Nothobranchius furzeri: one gene and its partner. The protein of the gene in region 2 binds, or shares a complex with, the protein of the main gene of each other region. Links are inferred from orthologs where the notes say so. Each region holds a gene or a part of one and is shown on either strand. Other genes may lie near its edges.

What was found.
Region 1: kif11 (region 2) and mysm1 share a complex: the UniProt entries of both Homo sapiens proteins name them as parts of the large chromatin remodeling complex. The link is inferred for Nothobranchius furzeri from reciprocal best matches to the Homo sapiens genes KIF11 and MYSM1.

What each region holds. Positions count from the first base shown.
Region 1 is NC_091748.1:42,204,729-42,214,638, forward strand, and holds the start of mysm1 (histone H2A deubiquitinase MYSM1), read right to left. Parts: upstream 4,726-9,910; 5' UTR 4,707-4,725; coding exon 4,594-4,706; intron 4,215-4,593; coding exon 4,142-4,214; intron 4,039-4,141; coding exon 3,968-4,038; intron 2,403-3,967; exon of another isoform or gene 2,321-2,402; coding exon 2,246-2,320; intron 2,159-2,245; coding exon 2,074-2,158; intron 1,944-2,073; coding exon 1,845-1,943; intron 1,770-1,844; coding exon 1,301-1,769; intron 1,219-1,300; coding exon 996-1,218; intron 801-995; coding exon 670-800; intron 592-669; coding exon 488-591; intron 413-487; coding exon 335-412; intron 246-334; coding exon 163-245; intron 95-162; coding exon 40-94; intron 1-39. UniProt on the Homo sapiens protein: Metalloprotease with deubiquitinase activity that plays important regulator roles in hematopoietic stem cell function, blood cell production and immune response.
Region 2 is NC_091752.1:45,732,018-45,741,137, reverse strand, and holds part of kif11 (kinesin-like protein KIF11), read right to left. Parts: intron 8,380-9,120; coding exon 8,292-8,379; intron 8,145-8,291; coding exon 8,071-8,144; intron 7,989-8,070; coding exon 7,874-7,988; intron 7,689-7,873; coding exon 7,617-7,688; intron 6,313-7,616; coding exon 6,177-6,312; intron 5,790-6,176; coding exon 5,617-5,789; intron 917-5,616; coding exon 791-916; intron 701-790; coding exon 551-700; intron 412-550; coding exon 272-411; intron 1-271. UniProt on the Homo sapiens protein: Motor protein required for establishing a bipolar spindle and thus contributing to chromosome congression during mitosis. Required in non-mitotic cells for transport of secretory proteins from the Golgi complex to the cell surface.

The DNA of each region.
Region 1 (9,910 bases), on a different chromosome or scaffold from region 2:
AACAACAGCCTAACTGGTAACTCGGTGAGGACTGCTGACCTGTACGTCGTCTTCAAACGACCTGCAGGGAATCAGCTGGAATGGATCTAAAGACCTAACAGAGGAGTAAATCATCAGTAATGTTTATTCATAGTTTATTACTTCTTCCATTACGTTGCTCACCATCTGTATTTTGACATCTTGCAGGGTTTAGGGTGCTTCCTCATCTCCTCCCTCCTCAAAGCGAGCTCCTTAGCACCGAGATGCTAATAAACACATTGCACAAATACAATCAGCAGAAAGACCCTTGTCAATTCAGCCAGGTGGAAGTTTTTTCATGTTTCAAAGTCCAAACCTCGTATGTCTGTCCTTCCAAATCTTTAGCATCACACCAGTTCCCCCAGATGTCGCGCACACGCCTCCTCCTGGTCCGCTACAAACCATCAAACGTTAGCTCGAGTCTGCCACACCTTGGTGGTGACGGTTTGGTGCTTTAGCGTGTTCCTACCATACTCTGGAGTCTCTGAGCCAGCTGATAGGCTTCCAGCACGTCTTTGCCCTCCTTGTGTTTGGAGCGGTCCACCACTTTGGGGCGATTATACACTGCTTGCTCTACAAGGATTCAAACATCAACAAATGTTAGAGGGAAACACAACAACAGGAGTAAACATGGGAGGGGGGGGGGGTTACCACAGTTGAAGTTGATTGCCCCAATGAGCTCCAGGTAGGTGTGTATTCTCCCGATGCAGTTGACATCCCCACAGTTCTTCAGACCAGGACGGACTGAGGTCTTGTTGAGGTACTTGGGTTTATTTTTCAGCCTAATGGACACAAAACATAAAAAGTCACTTCTGTAGAAGTCCGTTCTCAACCTGGAAACTACCAGCCATCCTTCCTTCCCCAACTGGGAATCATCAAACTGGACCTGCTTGTTCAACAACATCAGAGCTATTCCTTTGCTGGTCTCATAACTTCTCATTCTGTGACTTTAGTGTAGGTGTGTGTGTTTGTGGTACCACTGATCCAGGATGTAGTTTCTAATCTTAAGATATCTTTCTGGGGTTTTGGACGGTCGTCCCTCAAAGAACTCTGGGATGGCTTGTTTCTCGTCCTCAGTGATCGTCTCTGTGTCCATCTGAATTTCTCGCTCAGGGGCTTTGAGCTCCTCCTCTTCCTCGTCTTCATAGTCTTCCTCCAGCTCCTTTTCCGATTCGTAATTTTCAATCTTATCATTAGAGTCTACGAGGCAATACATTTTATTTTACAGATGAACACAAATAATAATTCAATAAGCAAAAAAGAAAAACTGATAGTGGATCACCTGTGCAGGTGTGATCATCTTCACCTAGCTGAATGTCACACAGAGAACTCTGACCTTCGTTTGCCTCAGCCGTCTCCTCTGGAGGGGTTTCTGTCTCTATAGCCTTCTCAGTTATCCTCAGTTTGTCACCTTCATCATTGCAAACTAAATCAGAAAAGCCCAGAGGACTTTGTAGAGGAAGAGAGCTCTGGCAGGGTTGGTCCTCTGTCTCATGAACGTTCTCCCCCTCACTCAGGTCTGATTCTGTTTGTTCTTCTTTAGGCTCTTCTGAATCACAGAATCCAGTTTGGACAACTCTCCCTTCATCCTCACTCTGGTTATCAGTGATGTCTACATCCTCATCGTCAGAAAGTCTCTCTATGCGAACAGCGTTGGACAGAACAGAAGCACAGACGGAGGCTGGCGGAGGAGGGTGTGAGTGCAGGTCAGGACCTGCAGACGAAGCAGCAGCTTTGGGTTCGGGTTTATCCTTAAGTGGGAATACAAAAGAAAAGTAAATAAAAGATGTGTTTGCACATCCAGCTAAGCAACGAAGACAGTTCACCTTTTGCTTGAAATGCTGTCTGGCATAACTCTTGACCTGAAGAACACTACGGGTGCCCACCAGCTTGGCAATTTTAGTCCACCTTCGACCAAATTGGGCCTGCAAAAATAAATAAAAGAAAAAAGAGAAAATCAGTTTCTTGAAAAATTATCTGAACCTGCAACAAAACAGCAGATTATAATCTTAATTTCAGACATTCAGCTCAGCTGAGTAAAAAAAAAAACCTCACCAATCCTTCCTCAAAGCGCTCCTTTTCCTGTTTTGACCAGCGAGACGATGAAGCGGACATTGAGGTTGAGTTCTTGGATAGAGACCTTATCGTTCAACAGAAAGGAGAATCAATACTTACCAACAGACTCAGGAATCAGTGAACAGATAAGGAGAAATGCAGAGAGACTTACTTCTTCACTTTAGGCTTTTTGTTAGAATCACTGTGCAGAATGTTGTCAGGAACCGCCTTACCTGTGAGGTAATATCTGAAGTCACAGTTCAGGATGTCTGCTATCTGCTTTAGTCCATGTTTTCCTTTATGTGAGCTGTTGACTAAAACATTTTAAGCTATAGGTAACAACAAAAAGGGAGAAAAAAATGAACCCTAGTTAATGTAAACATTTCTTTAGTTATTTTATACTCAAAAGAAAAAATGTTTAGTGTGTTTTATCTGGATCAGACTGATTAATCAGTAACAATGAACTTCATTCTCTATTCTACTGTTTATTGTTATTACTACTCCAAACACCTGTTTGATTTAGTTTGTTACTTCCTGTTTGTATTACACTCATTTCTTTCCTGTTTAAAGTGGCAGTAGAACACTGTTTCTTTACAACTGGAACCACTACTTTGAGCCTCTGTGTAGCTTGACAAACTTTGCTGGGGCTCACAATGGCCCAGGAGCCCTGATTAATGGCCAAATTCAAACCCATGAATTTGTGCTACAATGAAAAGACTGGTTTACCTCACCCACTTGGTCAGGATATGAATATGAAATGAGTTGCTGTTTGTTTTACCCCAATGGTTACGCATCACTTGGAGCTATAAACTCTTTCCTTTGTAGAGGATAAAGTATCGTTGGAGCAAACTGGTCCTTAATACTTTAATTGGTGCAAGACAAACTTCAGAGTTCTCTGAAAAAGACATAAGCTGTCGAAACACAAGTTCTGTTTGTTTTGCACCAATTAAAGTATTAAGGACCAGTTTACTTCAGCCATACTTTATCCTCTCCATTTGATGTCCCATGGGCTGTCGGAGCACCGGATGTCCTCTGCATGATGCTTGACGTGCTCTTCTATTACTAAACTCCTTGCTTTCTTTCTGTGTGCGTGTGTGAGGGCGTGTGTGTGTGTGCATGTGTGTGTGAGGGTGTGTGTGTGTGTGTGTGTGTGTGGGGGGGGGTGTTAGTGTCCAGCTGAGTGACCATCTTGCCTGTTGTAAAGCGGTGACGTGCGGAGGAAGTTAGTGTTAAGTCAAGCGACTGCTCTGTAGGTTGTGGTGCGATGGTTTGTTGAGGAGACTAAGTGTCCCAGTACATCCTGGAACATGAGTGCTTCAACCAGCTTCTTGCATTCCCCCCCCCCCCCCCCCCATCAAAGACGTTAGTAGTAGCTCAGCCTAGTGTTGTTCTGCGGTTAGCATTAACGTGACCAGAGGTTGTATTGCTGACACTAAAGTGGGTTGGAATATGCAAAGCAGCAGGTGTGTATAGTTTACTTGTTACAACCAACTTTTATCAGAATCAACCGTCCCCCCTTCACCTTTTTAAGATGACTAATTTACACAGAGAGCAGGTCAAACATGACTGACTTTTTGGTATGCCACATTTGACACCCCAAGGTTCCTTTATCAACAAGGTAAATGCAGCTTTATATTCTATTACCCCTTTAAGTGTTGAGATAACAACTTAAAAATAAATAGGCTGAAAAAACACCACTTAGTGGCACAGAAGCTTTCTGACTCATCAGCCTGCTGATGATATGATGATGAGGAGGAGGTTTCTGTGTCATCTTCACACAGACAAGTGCCTAATTAATGTGTGTGCAAACACAAAAACAAACAGAAGAATGCAGAAAGTTGTTTTATATCAAAATAATCTCTCTGAACCCTTTGGGGGAATGATGAAAGGATACTGTTCCTCCAGCAGCATCCTCTCTATCACCTCTCTGTTCTCAGGGCTGATGGAGCTGTCCAGTTCCCAGGGCTGTTCAAACAGCACACAGAATCAGGACCAGGACCAACACACACACACACACACACACACACACACACACGATCTGCCTGAACAGCTGTGTGAGAATTCATACCAGGATCCAGGAGCTGCTTTTGCCCACAGACTGGACGAACTGATCCTGGATTACACCTCCTTCGTCTATCTCACTGAAACAGCATGAAAACAAGCAGCTATTAATTCCAGATGTGAAATAAACAAAGAAACGCACACACACACGCGCGCGCACTAACTCTCTCTCTCTCTACTCCATGCCATACAGACAGCTAGCTAGCTTCGAAGTGGTAAGTCTTTTTTTAAAGTTGTAGCACCTTTGAAGATACAAAACCAAAGGTGCTTTAAACAAACTAGCAGAAAAATCAAATGATAAAACAACAAAAATAATCAGTAAGATAAGAAGCAGGTCTACAACAGATAGCAAAGCTAAGGCTAATAGTCAAAGAGCCTCTCCCAGCTAATTGAACGGTAACACATGGCTCCTGTGGTTCGCAGACACACTGTTTACCCAGAGTTAGTCAGCATTCTTACCGGACATTACAATCAAAATCGTCTCCCTCGATGTCAACATCCACGTCGTCCTCCATGTTGTCGGACAGACGTAAACATAACATTAGTCTGCGCCGCTTTGGTGAGAAACACATACCACGTTGAGCCACAGCGCCACCATGTGGCTCGGATGAACGACTGTTCGGTTAACATTGATGTCAACGGTCTGTCTCTGGATTAGCCTGTTTACATTTAAGCCTGTTTATCTTACACACACACACACACACACACACACACACACACACACACACACACACACACACACACACACATATATATATATATATATGTTATGGCATGGCGTTCAGGAAATCATTATATATTTATACCAGAATACTTCTGAATATATGGACCAAAGTGTGAATATTTGGACCGAAGTATGAATATATGGACTGAAAGTGTGAATATATGGACTGAAAGTGTGAATATATGGACTGAAAGTGTGAATATATGGACTGAAAGTGTGAATATATGGACCGAAGTTTGAATATTTGGACTGAAAGTGTGAATATATAGACCGAAGTATGAATATATGGACTGAAATTCTGAATATATGGACTGAAAGTCTGAATATATGGACCGAAGTCTGAGTATTTGGACTGAAAAATGTGCTTCAAGTGGGTTCGGTTTGCAGCAACGTGCATCGCCACTTCAAACTCTGACCTCTCGGCATACCTTTTTTTTAATACTTTTTTCTTGGCGGTGAGCACTGGTAGTTTTTCGGGTCATTTATTAGTCGAAATCTCCGAGTTCTAAAAAAATATCTTTCCCTCCAACATCAGCCGTCCACAGTCCGTGCCCAGCGCAGCCACTCCCGATAGGACACGCTCTCCACGAAGGTCCGCATTTTGCGCCAAAGGTGCATCACTGCCGTGAGACGCACAGTGCAGTCAGCAATAGGATGCTTATTGTAATGTAAAATTAATTAAAATCAAGCTTAAATAGATCTAGAAATCTTACTTTTACTGTCATTCTGTTGTGGAAAATATTCAATGAAAAGTCTCTATTGTACACCTGTCTATATTTATAGAATCTGCTGATGGTTTAAAGTAATTTTAATTAAAGTTATTCAGAGCCGCTGTAGAAGTCCAAAGAGCCCGAGTTAAGCTGTGGTAACTGTAGAGGAACCGTGAAACAGTCCGAAAGCTTTTCTGTTAGCCTGTTCAAGTTGAATTCAAATAAAATTTATAGAACATTAAACATATAATGATGATGATAGTAATAATTGTATGTATATTTAACAGTGACTTCATAGCTAAAAGGCAGAATAGATTTTCTGTTTGGCCTCTCATTTTTGCAGATGATGTGGTCCTGTTGGCTTCATCAGGGGGCTCGGAGTAAATCCACTGCTCCTTCACATCGAGAGGAGCCAGTTGGGGTGACTTGGGCATCTGAGTAGGATGCCTCCTGGGAGTCTCCTTGGTGAGTTTTTCTGGGCACGTTCAACTGGGAGGAGAACCCAGTGAAGACCCAGGACACGCTTGAACAAGTATGTTCCATGGCCAGGGAACGCCTTGACATATATACATACACACACATATATATATAATTTTATTTGTATTTATATATATATATAAACTAGAGGTGGGAAAAATGATCGATTCTAAGATGCATCGCGATTCAGCCGTGCATGATTCCGCATCGATGCAGCAATGCGACATAATGAGATTTTCTCCCTATGTCTATGCAGGACAATAAAGTTTTGAGGTTTTATAATTACTTCAGGGGGCAAAGTTGCAATGACATGCGCACTGCGTTGCCCTAGCGCCATTTAAACCAGAAAAGGCGGACAGGGATACGGGGCCAACATTACCAGTAATCAAAGATGTACCCGTTACATTTAAATCGGATGTCTGGGCTAATTTCGGTTTTGGGATCCTGGATGTGAAAGAATCACTTAACACAGTATTTGTTTACTATTTTTAAGTTCAGTTGTATTCCATCTTAAAGCTGCTCTACAGAAAACATTTCTTATATTATTTAAGTAATTATAGGCAGCACACTTTAAAAATTGTTGCTCACTATAGTGAATAGATGTACTGTATGTTCTGTTTTTCAGGGATGTCGAAATAAAAAGAAATTGAAAACTATTTTACTGCTTTTATTAAGTCATGAAAAATGGGTGAAGAATTTTGATGCATTTCAGACTCAAATCGAATCTTTAGGCATAATCGGAATCGGATCGAATCGTGGGGCAAGTAGAGATGCACACCACTAATATAAATACAAATAAAATTGCTTTTCTCAAAAAATAATTAAAATTAATTAATTAAAAAATAAAGTCCCAGGTTAGATTTGTTTTTTTGTTTTTAGCTGAAAGTTTCTTAGAACACAACAGACTTGTCTTCTTTAATTTTCACACCACACTTTTCCCTGGAAAAGCCTCACATAAATCATTATTATTAGTATACAGAAAATTTACTGGAGGCCAGGCAATAATATTCAGACACAAAGTGAAAGACAACAAAAAAAAGGTTTTATTTAGAAAGAATTCACAGTTTCTAATGGCACTACAGTTTTTGTAGTAACTCACTCCTGGTCAAAAATACTGTGCAGCTCTTCAGACTCAGAAAGGAGGAAGAGAAAAGAACCGATCACACTTCACATAGAAAAAAGGCACGAGGAGTCACACAAAGTGCAGAATGAGTGTGTACAAATATCTGCAAGTGCTTCCTCCCCGTGTTATGGGTTTAATAAAAAGGTTCCAAGTAGTTTTTCTCCTTACACAAACACACACGACACATATGAAATAATCTCCTAATCGACACACACACACACACACACACACACACACACACACACACACACACACACACACACACACACACACACACACACACACACACACACACACACACACACACACACACACACACACACACACACACACACACACACACCAATAGAGTAGGAGAAATAAAGAAAAACAGGTTTGCTCTGCTTGTGGAATAAACGTGATCACATTAATGGTGTTGCAAATCTGATTCGTCATTCCCGTTTTCCCTTTAACCAATAATAATTCATCTCCTCTGCACCCCCCCCCCCCCCGTGTCATTCAAAGTGGGTTGAACACATGGAATTAAACAGCAACAGCGAGTGACATGTGGAGTGTAATGTGAGAGTGAGGACATACAAAGATGAGTAGAGTTAAAAAAGAAAGCATTTCATGCTCCTACTTAAACATGGAGTGGTTAATGCAAGCAGACATATTCAAAGGTTTCTTCACAGTCACAGAGCAACGAGGGCCGGGGGTGGAGGGGAGCACAGAAGAGCTGTAGGATCAAACAGTAACAAAAGGAGAAACATTGTCCAAGTTCTGTCTCTGTCAGTGTTCACAACTGCAGCCACACTCAGCCTGTCAGAAACCACATGTAGAAACAAATCGTTTACTTTTCATTTTGTAAAAACAAAACACGAACACCCCACTGAGTTTGGAATCACCATTTTGAACGGGGCGACTTACAACAAGTCATCCACAGAAGACGAGCAAACAAGCAAAGACGAGACAGAAAAACTCCATCCAACTACGCCGACGGCTCCAGACACAGCAGCACTCTGCTCCCAATAAACCCAAGGCTTCTAAAATCAATACTCAATTATTTCTGCTGGATATCAAACGTCATGGCTGGAGCTTCAGGCCGAGGCATAAAGACAAAACGAGGAGAAAAAGTGTGTTGTTGAGCGATTGTACGCGTCAGATCTATTGACGTAAACAATCTCCTGTCACCGTGTTGAACTGGGAGACCAGCAAACCAGTACCATCATCAGAAAAAGGCTAGATTTAAATAAATAAATAGATAAATATAACTGGTCTGTCAGAATCATCTGCAGGTGAAAGTATTGTAAACATTCTACTCTGGAACCACACACACACACACACACACACACACACCCCCGGACCCATGTGTCCCCACTTTAGCAACTCTCTTTAACAAACAACAAACCAGCAACATCTTAAAAATAAAGAGTCCTGGCTCAGTTCTCAGCCACAGGAATAAAAACAGAATCTGGTTCGCCTCTGGCCTGTTGATAGTCATCACAGATGTTGAATCCAATAAGAACAAGTGTGCATGAAGGTTTTGGGCCCGGCCCAAATAACAGAGTAAGGAGAATGATACACCGAGTTTACAAGACCTGCAGACTGCTGCACCTGTGAGGTTAAACTAGATTCTAAACTAAAAGAGTAAACTCGTCGATGCCATCACCCAGTTAGTTTCTTCATTCAGCTCCTGCCACTGGTTTGGAATTAACTGACAGAGACAGAAACCATCACAATGAAAACCATCAGTCTGGTCCCCAACAAACCTGCAGCCAAACCGGACAGATGAGACAGAAGAAAACAGAAGACAGAAGAGACTTGTCGTGCTCTGCGGTTCTCCTACAATGACACTTTTCATCCAAAACAGCAGCTAATACTTAAAGGAACGTCAGCAAGTCTTCTCACTGTGCTGTGTGGGAGGAACATGTTCACTGATGCTCTGCTGTCTAGGAACAATGTGCTTATTCAGGAAAAAAACAATACAAAAAAAAACTTTCAGATAAAGGTGACGTGTCGTTCCCCATCATAGTATTTATATGTGAAGGTTTGAGTGTCTAGAACAGAAATAAAGGCACATAACTGTAAACAGTTCTCTTACAGGAGTGGACAGGGGCGGGATGGTGTTGAACTAAACCCACTGAGGTTCTACGGTACCTTCAGGGGGCTCATGGGAAATGTAGTTCTTTGGAAATTGCTTGAAGTTCTTCTCCAAATAAGTCTGCTACCTTCCAGAGAACCAAAGGTCGTGTGAAGGTGAAGTGAGAGGTTTCAGGCGTGTCCGGGGACAGCGGTCACCCCGATGGTCCTGACGTTCAGCTCCTTGTTTCCCTTCATCAGTTCCTGCAGACTGGGCAGAGAGCCAACGCCACCCCCAGGCTCATGAGGGAACTGCAGCTCGGTCTGTCGAGACTTCCGTCGCTTCGTCCAACGTTTCTCCTGGCGGGATTTGGCGAGGGGAAAGGAGAGGCCGTGGCCATTGCACATGTCAGCGGAGGGGTAGATGGGGGAGGGCGGAGGGAGGCGGCTTGTGTACGATTCCTCAGAATGGGTGGAGGAGCTGCAGCTACTGGTTTCTGAGGGAACCTCTTTAGAAGAACAAGAGGGCAAAGACGACACCTGATCCACTGATGGAAGTGGTGGCGGTGGGGGAGGAGGGGGAGGCAGTAAAGGAGGTGGGGGTGGGAGCGCCGGGAGGCTGGGGTGGAAGCCATTACACTTCAGGTCCTCATTTGTGAAAAGCACAGACGGATCGAATGGTTT
Region 2 (9,120 bases):
ATCTTCCGGCGACCGTAATAAAACAGCACGACTAAAGGGGAAAAGTGCTCCCTTTGAAGTCAGTACGAATGTACCATGTTCACGAAGCAAAGAGCAAGTAGCCACATGAGGGCAGAGCGAGGTGAAACAAAAACGGGGTTCTCCTGACAAACTGTTTCAGCTGTGTCGTTTCGGTGATTAAGGCGTTTCGGCCAAAAATTGAAAATGCCCTTTGGGCCAAAAATTATCGGTGCATCCCTAGTTGATGGGCATAAGACTGAGACGCTCAGACCTGCATATGCTCTCCTGGAGGCTCAGAGCAGGAGCCTTCAGAGCTTCGGAGGCTGATCTCAGGTCGGCGTAGTCCTGCTGGCTCTGCATGCTCAACAGGTTGAGCTGGTCCTGCAGGAACTGGATGGTCTGTTGCATACCCTGGAGAGGAGGTCACTCAGATTTATACCAATAATGAAGCCATCCAGGCTTGTTTAGGAGAATAAACTTCACATGTCAGCAGGATGGTTAGACACTCACAGAGCTCTGAAGCCAACAGATCAAGGGGGTTGAATCTTACCAGCCGTTGTCTCTCCTGTGCCTGACTGATCCTGTCCTCCAGCTTGTCCTGTTCGTCCTGCAGGGAGCTCAGTCTGTGGACGGCCTCCTCCCGAAGACTGTCCAGGTCCTGATGCAAACTGTTGAAAAACAGACCCACAGACTCCTCCACCTGAAACAAGATGAGAAAACATACTCAGGTCTGCCCACACCTGAGCTAAAACTCTGCCTCATTTGTGAGGACGGGCAGGTCTGGACTCACCTTGTCAGCCAGAGCTCGCTGCTTCTCCACGGAGGACCTCAGAACATCACTCAGCTCGTTGACAGCAGATAAACCCATCAGAGTCCGAGCAGCCAGGACATCCTCCATGTCCTGCTGATGCTCCTCCTAAAAAAGTTCATTAAATGATCCTCAATAAAAACAGTGAATGCCTGGAGAAACGCTGAAGGGGCGTCGACTCCTGAAGAAACAAATTCAACTCAACAGAAAGTTGGAGAGTCTGTCAGCAGGTTAGCACACACACACACACACACACACCAGTGTTTCTTGTGCATAGGCTTTACCGTGGCGCTGCACCATGCCTACAAAGAAGCAGGAGGAACCACTCTGTTGTTGCATATGAACACAGTACGCAGGCAGCAAGGGGAAGCTGCACACAGACTTGTTGCTTTTTGATCTACTTGCTTCAAAAGGTCTAAAACAGGGGTCTCCAACATGTCGCTCGTGAAAAACCAGTAGCTCCTGACGCATTTGAAAGATGCTCGCCTGGAAGCTTAGTAGCCAGTAAGCCATCCCGCTTGACTTAATGATGGCCTAACTAATGAGCTTTAAAATGAGATGACACGCAGTCACCGTTTTCTGTAATATGTCAAATTTTTTTATTTTTGTGGACGTAAAATATAAATCTGATTATTGCAGAAATGTTTCCGTGTCATTCAGTGTTCAAGTCTGTACTTGTGGAAACACGCGGATTAATTGCTTGTGTTGCACCACAGATCTTTGTTTCTCCCCAGAAGAAGCTACAGTGATGTTCTGCTGAGCTGTGGTGGCCTCATGGAGGGGGCCATCGACTAGCACACTGTTGCTAACCACTTAAACATTCTCCCTCTCCTGATAACATTTTACTTTCTTTGACATTGAATGCGTTGCTACTAGTTTACCCGTTTAATTATAGATTTTATTAAAAACATCTTGTTCATTCAACCATTTGATTAATTAACTTATAAGTTGTAAAGCCTTGTAGGATTGTGTGGATTCGCTTTTTTATTCAGAGTGAGGAATCCAGCGGTCTGACTTTTAAGCAGAGAGAGAAGGGCTTTTGCAGGAGACCATGACAGTTTATATATGTCTGCATTGGAGAACAATAAGTAAGCAAAGGGTTGATTTGATTGTGTGTGTTTGTGTGGGCTGGTGTTGGTGTGTTTGCTCTGTCTTCTCGATCCCCAGTGAGTCGTGGTGGATGGCTGCTTATACTGAGCCAGGATACTCTGGAGGTTTCTTCCTGTTAAAAGGAAGTTTTCCTCTCCACTGTCGCTGCCGCAGAGTTAGCTCCGTGGAAAGGTTTCAGTAGAGTCTCGGCCTGGCTTGGAAACTGTTCCGTCATTTTCAGTCTCTCAACTTAGACCATTAGTTGTAGCGTTTGTGTATTCTGTTTTGGATATTTTTTGTGCAATTGTTGGACAAAATGACTTGCTGTGGTATTAATTGCACTACTAGAGCGTCCAAGGAGTCTCCACTTCATTTTTTTTTTCGGTAAGTAAAATTATATTTATGTATTTTAGGTCACTGCCGAGCTGAACTTAGATTTTACCATGTACTGTTTAACCATGAAATTGAAATGTAATAGGGTAAAACCCAGTGCATTTAACGTAATGCTGCACTTTAGAAAATGGGTTGAAATATAACATGTTGGTGGAGCTGAGTTTCGACTATCGGCTTGTGGAGCTCTCGGGAGACCGATGTTTTCCACCCGGTTTTACCCAGCGGTCAGCCCGGCGTATCTCTGACTCAGAAGCTCTGGTGTTGTGCACAGTTAACTCCGGTTGTAGCTAGTTCATATTTTTAAAATGATGACATGAAAAAGTAAAAATAAAAAGTTATGGAGAAATTTGGGTATTTTAAAGACAAAAGGGGAAAAATGTAAACGAAAAAACCAACAACGAATTTTACAAAACAAATTTTAGGCTAAATTTAGACATCAACTGAGAACCTAATTTTCCTCATATAGAGGGTTTAGTTAGTTGTCTGAAAACATAACATGTAAAAAAAAAATAAATAAATAAATAAAAAAAAAACACTAATACCGAAAATCGTGATATTTTGGTCACAATAACCGCGAGGTTAAATTTTCAAACCGTGACAACCTTACGGATGATTCTATGTATGTTTCAGTAATTGGCCTTTGCACTACTGTATTGACTTTAGGGCCGCAACTAACGATTTTCATAATCGATTATTCTGTTGATTATTTTTACGATTAATCAGTTTTTGTTAATCTACAAAATAAAATAATAATAATTAAAAAAAAACGCAGCAGGAGAAATCCAGAAAGAAGTCTTCATTATTTGTTGCAAGTACCGTATTGACCCGAATATGAGGTTTTTTTTTTCATTGAAAATAAATTTAAAATGTGGGGTTGTTTTCAAATCTAGGTCTAACCATTACACGCCCGTAACAGCAGGGGGCACCAGGCTGTGCGTTCTCAACAGGAGAAAAAAAATGGAGATGGGAGGTCCGGAGCAGAGTGGACCGAAAGTGGGGCAAATTAACAAGCTATTATGCGAATTTTAAGATGATGAACAATTCAGCAGAAACGTCAAACATTGCATGCATGGATGTATTGCATAGCAATGAGGATGATGTTCTGGGAGGAGTCTGCTGGTGTAGCGATCTGATGGTACACCCCGCAGCAGCATGAGTGAGGACAGTGAGGCAGAGGGCGTCTGAATAAAAGCCTCATTCGACTTTTGAGTTCACATGTCAGCAAAATTCTGATAGTTTGCATTAAAATAGTATTTTTGCTCAGTATTTGTTCTCAAATTTTCAATAAGAATTGTTAATTTAAAAAGTGATTTTTTTGGTCTTTTCCTCTTGGAAAGGGGGGATGTTCGATATTTGGTGTATGTTTAAAGGCTGTGAAACACCTCGCAACACACTTAAACATGTTCCTTAGACAAAATAAACATTTCTCATATTTCTTGCTTGTTTAAAGACTCAAAGTTAAAACCTTTGTAGATTTTAAAGCATACAAGTATAACTATACCACGTTTAATTCATCCGCACTCTGCTCGCCTACATCCTTTTCCACACAGTTGTCCTTATTTGAGCGAGGAACATAGTTATGGGTTTGTGTTGTTTTTCTATGGAGAACATTCTTATAAACAGACGTGCTAAATTTGGCAAGCGCGGGATACACGACACGGTGGAGATTCATAATTGTATCTAGTCAGTCAGCGGTAGGACACAATGAACGTTAGTACGCTACAAAGATGCAGCGTAAAATTGTACAACAAACTCAGCAAAGTCACAATAAGTGATCCGCATTATAGTGAGGGACTGCTGTAATTAGTGTTTATTTTCTAACTAGGTATAAGTTACCTACTGGGCTGGCTCTTCCGCTGCATCAACTTTCAAAAGTTTTCATCTCAGATTTTCATTTAGAGAAGTCGTGCTTCTGTGCCATGCTAGATCCTTTGTGTATATTTAGCAGATCACCCGTCTTTTCACAGCATCTAGAGTGAAGCACTCTCAACCTTTAGATGTTTCTGTTCAGGATTTCTTCTTCAGGTTTATCATTTCTGTTTCTTGGTCTGCTATTTTCCTCAGTGTGAGCATGGCATCAGCCTTGTGCGTGGTACGTCACGAAGAACAAAGGGTACTATTGGCCGATTTCTTCTTCTGCTGCTTCACTGGTAGATTAGTGGCTCATTACTGCCACACACTAGCCGTAAATTTAACAGACTGTAAACCAGGGGTGTCGAACTCATTTTAGCTCAGGGGCCACATTGAGGGAAATCTAGTCCCAAGTGGGCCGGACCGGTACATAAAAAAAAACTTCAGATTGTTTTCTTTGTTTTAATACAATCAATATAAAACAAGGCTGGAGCCTGAGGACAGTGTAGTACAAGTACAACACCTGAAGTGTACTTGAAAATTTGAAAAAATAGAAAATTAAAAAAACAAATAAAAAAAAACATTCCTTAGTGATTCAGAGCTTACAGATCACATGGCAAGATCAGTTTTATGCAGCACTTAAAGTATATTTGACTCATTTTACTTTACATATTTTAGCTTTCACCAGCACATCAACATCAGAAGTCACATCCTGAGTGGCGGCCATCTTCAGGATGTGATTCAAGTTCTTGTGTGGGCCTTGAGCGCAGCTTTGTTTTATTTATACTCATTACAGAGAAAACTTGCTCACAAAGATAAGTTCATTTTCACTCTACATTGTAAAGTATGAAAATAAAGTTTACACAACCATCTCGCGGGCCGGATTTAACCCGCATGCGGGCCAGATCCGGCCCGCGGGCCGCATGTTTGACACCCCTGCTGTAAACGATGTAACAGTAGTTTTAAAAAATAGACTGCTTATGGTAAAACGTGATTATAAAACAACTAATCAATGACTAAATAAGTTGTCTACCATTTTAATAATCGATTAAACTGATTAGTTGTTTGAGTTCTAATTGATTTGAAGAAAACAATTAAATAATTGATGCATCAACATAAATTATTCTTAATCGTAGAAGAAGCATGCCATAATCGATTATAGTGGAATTAGGGCTGGGCAATAAAACAAAAATGTATCGTTCTAGAGGTGAAATCCTCAATTAATCATGATATTGATTTTAGGCCATATTGCTCAGCCTTAAGTGGAATACATTTAGCTTTTTTAACCACGCCATCGGCGTGCCATCAACATTTTTCAGAGAGAGACGTGTCCTCCATATTTAGAGCAGGAAATACCGGCCCGCCATTATGTAGTGCTGAGCGCTGCAGGTCTAACCAGAGACAGAACCCGAACCGAGTCAACCTGACGGGTTGATTTAAAGAAAGCCTGTTATGAATGATCATGAGGGCCTCACCAGCAGCTGCAGCAGACTCTCCTTGTCCTGCAGACACACCGATTCATGCTGCTGGAGCTTCTCCCGACAGCGAGCCACGCCCTCAGCCACCACCGACCTGACTCCGCCTACAAGCGACTCCATGGTGGTGACGGTGCTTTTCAGCGCCACCTCATTCATCATGAGCAGACCGTCTGTAGGTGGGAGGAACAAAGTGGGTAGGGGTTACTCAGGGTCCCCGATGACAGTTCTGGGTCAAAGGTTAAATATTAAAATAAACCTGAGGAATAATTAAACTGAAACATGATTCGTTTCATCAACTAAAAACGAGCTCAGAAACATCAAAACAGGACTGAACTGAAAAGTAATGTTGCTTAAATATGAATTTGTTCCCAAACTGGGAACACTGGTTTTGTCCAACTATAAGCCAACAGGTGCTTTATTCTAATCAGACTCAGAGCTAACCAAACAAAACTTTTGATCCGAGTGGAGAAGCTGAATGGACCACATGAACAGACGTTTATGCCTGAACACCAGTCGTACGTGCAGACCCATGAGCACCCTTGGTGCTTTGATCGTACCAACAGCCTGTGAGCAGCTGCTGAGCAGCTCGTTGTGTTTGGCTCCGTGACGGTGGACGCAGCGTTGCATGCTGCTCAAGGCTCCATCCATCCGCTCAGCAAAGCTTTGCTGCATCTGTTTGTTGTGATTCTCCACCTGCAAGTCAACACAAGTTTATTAGTCCGGCTGAAACATCAAGCACTGAGTCTAACAACCAATATGAGGAACTTCTCTCGTATTTTAATACACGTGCAGTGGTCATCTAGTGGAAATAGATGCCTTCTAAGTCAAACTCTATGGAAAAAAGCTCAGATGCTCGTTTCAGCATGGACGATTCAGCCTGAGGAGAAAGTAGCGTCAGACGGCAGGATTTAGAGTTTTATTTCCTAATATTTGGACATCTCATCTCCGACTGGGTAACAGCAACACGACCCTACCACTGACTCCGTTAGCTTTGCAACATGCACGTTTCATTCCCACAAATACAAGCCTGGAGTTCTGCTGTGTGGTGGAGTTGCTAATGCTAACGGTTAGCATAAAGTAGTTGGGACGTTCTCTGCCATTTCCTGGTCGCTAAACCAACAGCAGCCTTCCCCGTCGTAATCAAGATGGGTGAGTCCATGAATGTTAAGTGACAGTGTGACGTAGATCTGTCAGGATTTTCTAATCCTAGTTTCATCGTCTACTTTCTGTCAGAAGCTAATGCAGGAGACAGATGTAGGAGACTATTTTCATGTTCAGCCTGCATGAAAAACTCAAGAGTACAATCAGAATTGATTAAAGCAGTTTTTTTTTCAGTAAAAGGACCTCTTCAAAAAGTTGAAAGTCATGTGTGTGTGTGTGTGTGTGTGTGGTGGTTGGGGGTGGGGGGGGGTTAGATCTGATCAAGAAGCTCGTTCTCAAAAGAAATGTTTGAGCTGTTTGGTAATATTTTGGGTTCAGAAGGGACAAAGCTTTTGAAAAAGTAATTTTACTTTCCTTTTTTCAGATGTACTAATACATCTTAAAGACAAATCCTTATTTTTACCGTTTTAAGTAGAGAATAAAACAACAAACAGGTTGTGGGGGAAATTAATAACACTAGCAGTGGAGCAATTATTCTGCCAAAGCCACATCTAGTGGCCCACTTTGGGCATTTACCGTCCAGGTGAACGCCCTGCCCTCGGGTTTAATACTGCTCTATGGTGGACGGTTCTAGTCTGGAGGTAATTTAGAATCTGTGGTTCTTTCCAGAGAAATGTTTTTAATGTTCTCCCTCATCCTGAAAATACCACAAGCGAGGAGGGACATCAGACAGAACCAGTTGCTTTTCCCCATGAAGATTTGGCTTTTTTTGATTAGACATTTTTACAACATGACCTCTGAACGTGACAATACAACCAATTATAAATTCTCTTCATCGTGTTTATTTTGACTCACTACTAACGACTGACGATTGCTTGTGTGTGAATCTGTTTGACCTTTTTCTTCCTGTCCAGCTTGTCGTGGAGACCCGACACGTCTCTGGTGCTGGCGTCGGCAGTGCTCAGCAGCTGGAAGCATGGAGGAGAGGGTGGGGTCAGACACGTTTAAAAATCACTCAGTGGAAACATTTAAAATTGAGAAACTGGAAATTTTAGGGAAAATTTTTTAATTTCAAAATCATGAAAGTGATTCTAACTCATAAGAGACGAGAAGTGAGAAAACAGGATGTTAGGTGTTTGGCTTAGAGACACACCTGTCCAGCTGTGTTGTACAGAGACTCGTGGACAGAAGTGACCTCTGAGCAGATGAACTCCTCCTCAACCAGCTTCTCCTTGGTCTGCTGCAGGTCTTTGCTCGTCTCCTCCAGCCTAAAGCCGATAAACTCATAAATTCCAGAAAACTCCGATCAGAGTCCTCTGCGGTCTGATTTCAGCCTGTGGAATGAAATACCTCTTATGCTTCTCATCCAGGTCAGCGGTGCACTGCTCCAGTTTGGTTTGGCTGTCCTCAAACAGCTCGGTCACCTGCAGAGGAATCGCATCATGAACGGTGCAGCGATGGGAGAAAAAACTGCTGCCAGCTCAGGTTTGTGACAAACCACGAACCTCTGCCTCAACAAAAGCAACTCCCGTTTTCATGTTTGTGATGGAGAGTGAAAAAGAGGGTGGTACCTTTCTAAGCTCCTCCTCCATGATTATGATTTTGTCCACGTATTCTGCAATCTGCTCCTCATGAGCCGTGATCTGTGTCATCATGCTCCTGAAAACAAACATGTCAGTTCAGACCCAACTCAGGATCAGGATGAGAACTGCCTTTGAGCCAGACTTAATGGCAGAACTTTCTTATTCTGTTTTTATTCATTGTTAGGGGCGGGCTACATGATGATATCACATCATGACAGGATAGAACACGTAGATCAGCGATACTCAATTGGCGGCCCACGGGACACGTCCGGCCCGCAAGCCCTCTCTTTGTAGCCCCGAAACCCCATGCACACACCCCCACCCTCGATGACCGACCGGGAGGTGTATAGAGCTGAGGAAAACAATCGATGCATAAGATGCGGGCATGAACGATTCTGCATCATAGATGAGTACACCATAATCAATTATAGTGGAGTGTAGTTTTGTTATTTTAACGGCGGCACCAGCGTAGCATCCAGATCTGTCAGAGCGGTGTTCTCCACTTTTACTGGGTAGGAAACTTTGGTCCGCCTTTATGTGGTTCTACAGGGCTGAGCACTGGAGTTGTAACCTGAGACCGAACCGGAACCGAATCAGCCCGACCAGTTCGGTTGGATTTGGGCCGCGAATTATGGTAATTGAGTGGGCTTCAACTCAACTTGGGTGACTGTGTGAAGGGTTGCCCATCCATAAATTTATAATCACTGGGTTTATTTAGCACCCGGTTTTTTATTATTATAAATTTCAAATGCATAATGAAACACTACAGCCCTACAGACCAGTCTGGTTTTAAAAGGTCAATTTAAATATCAGGTTC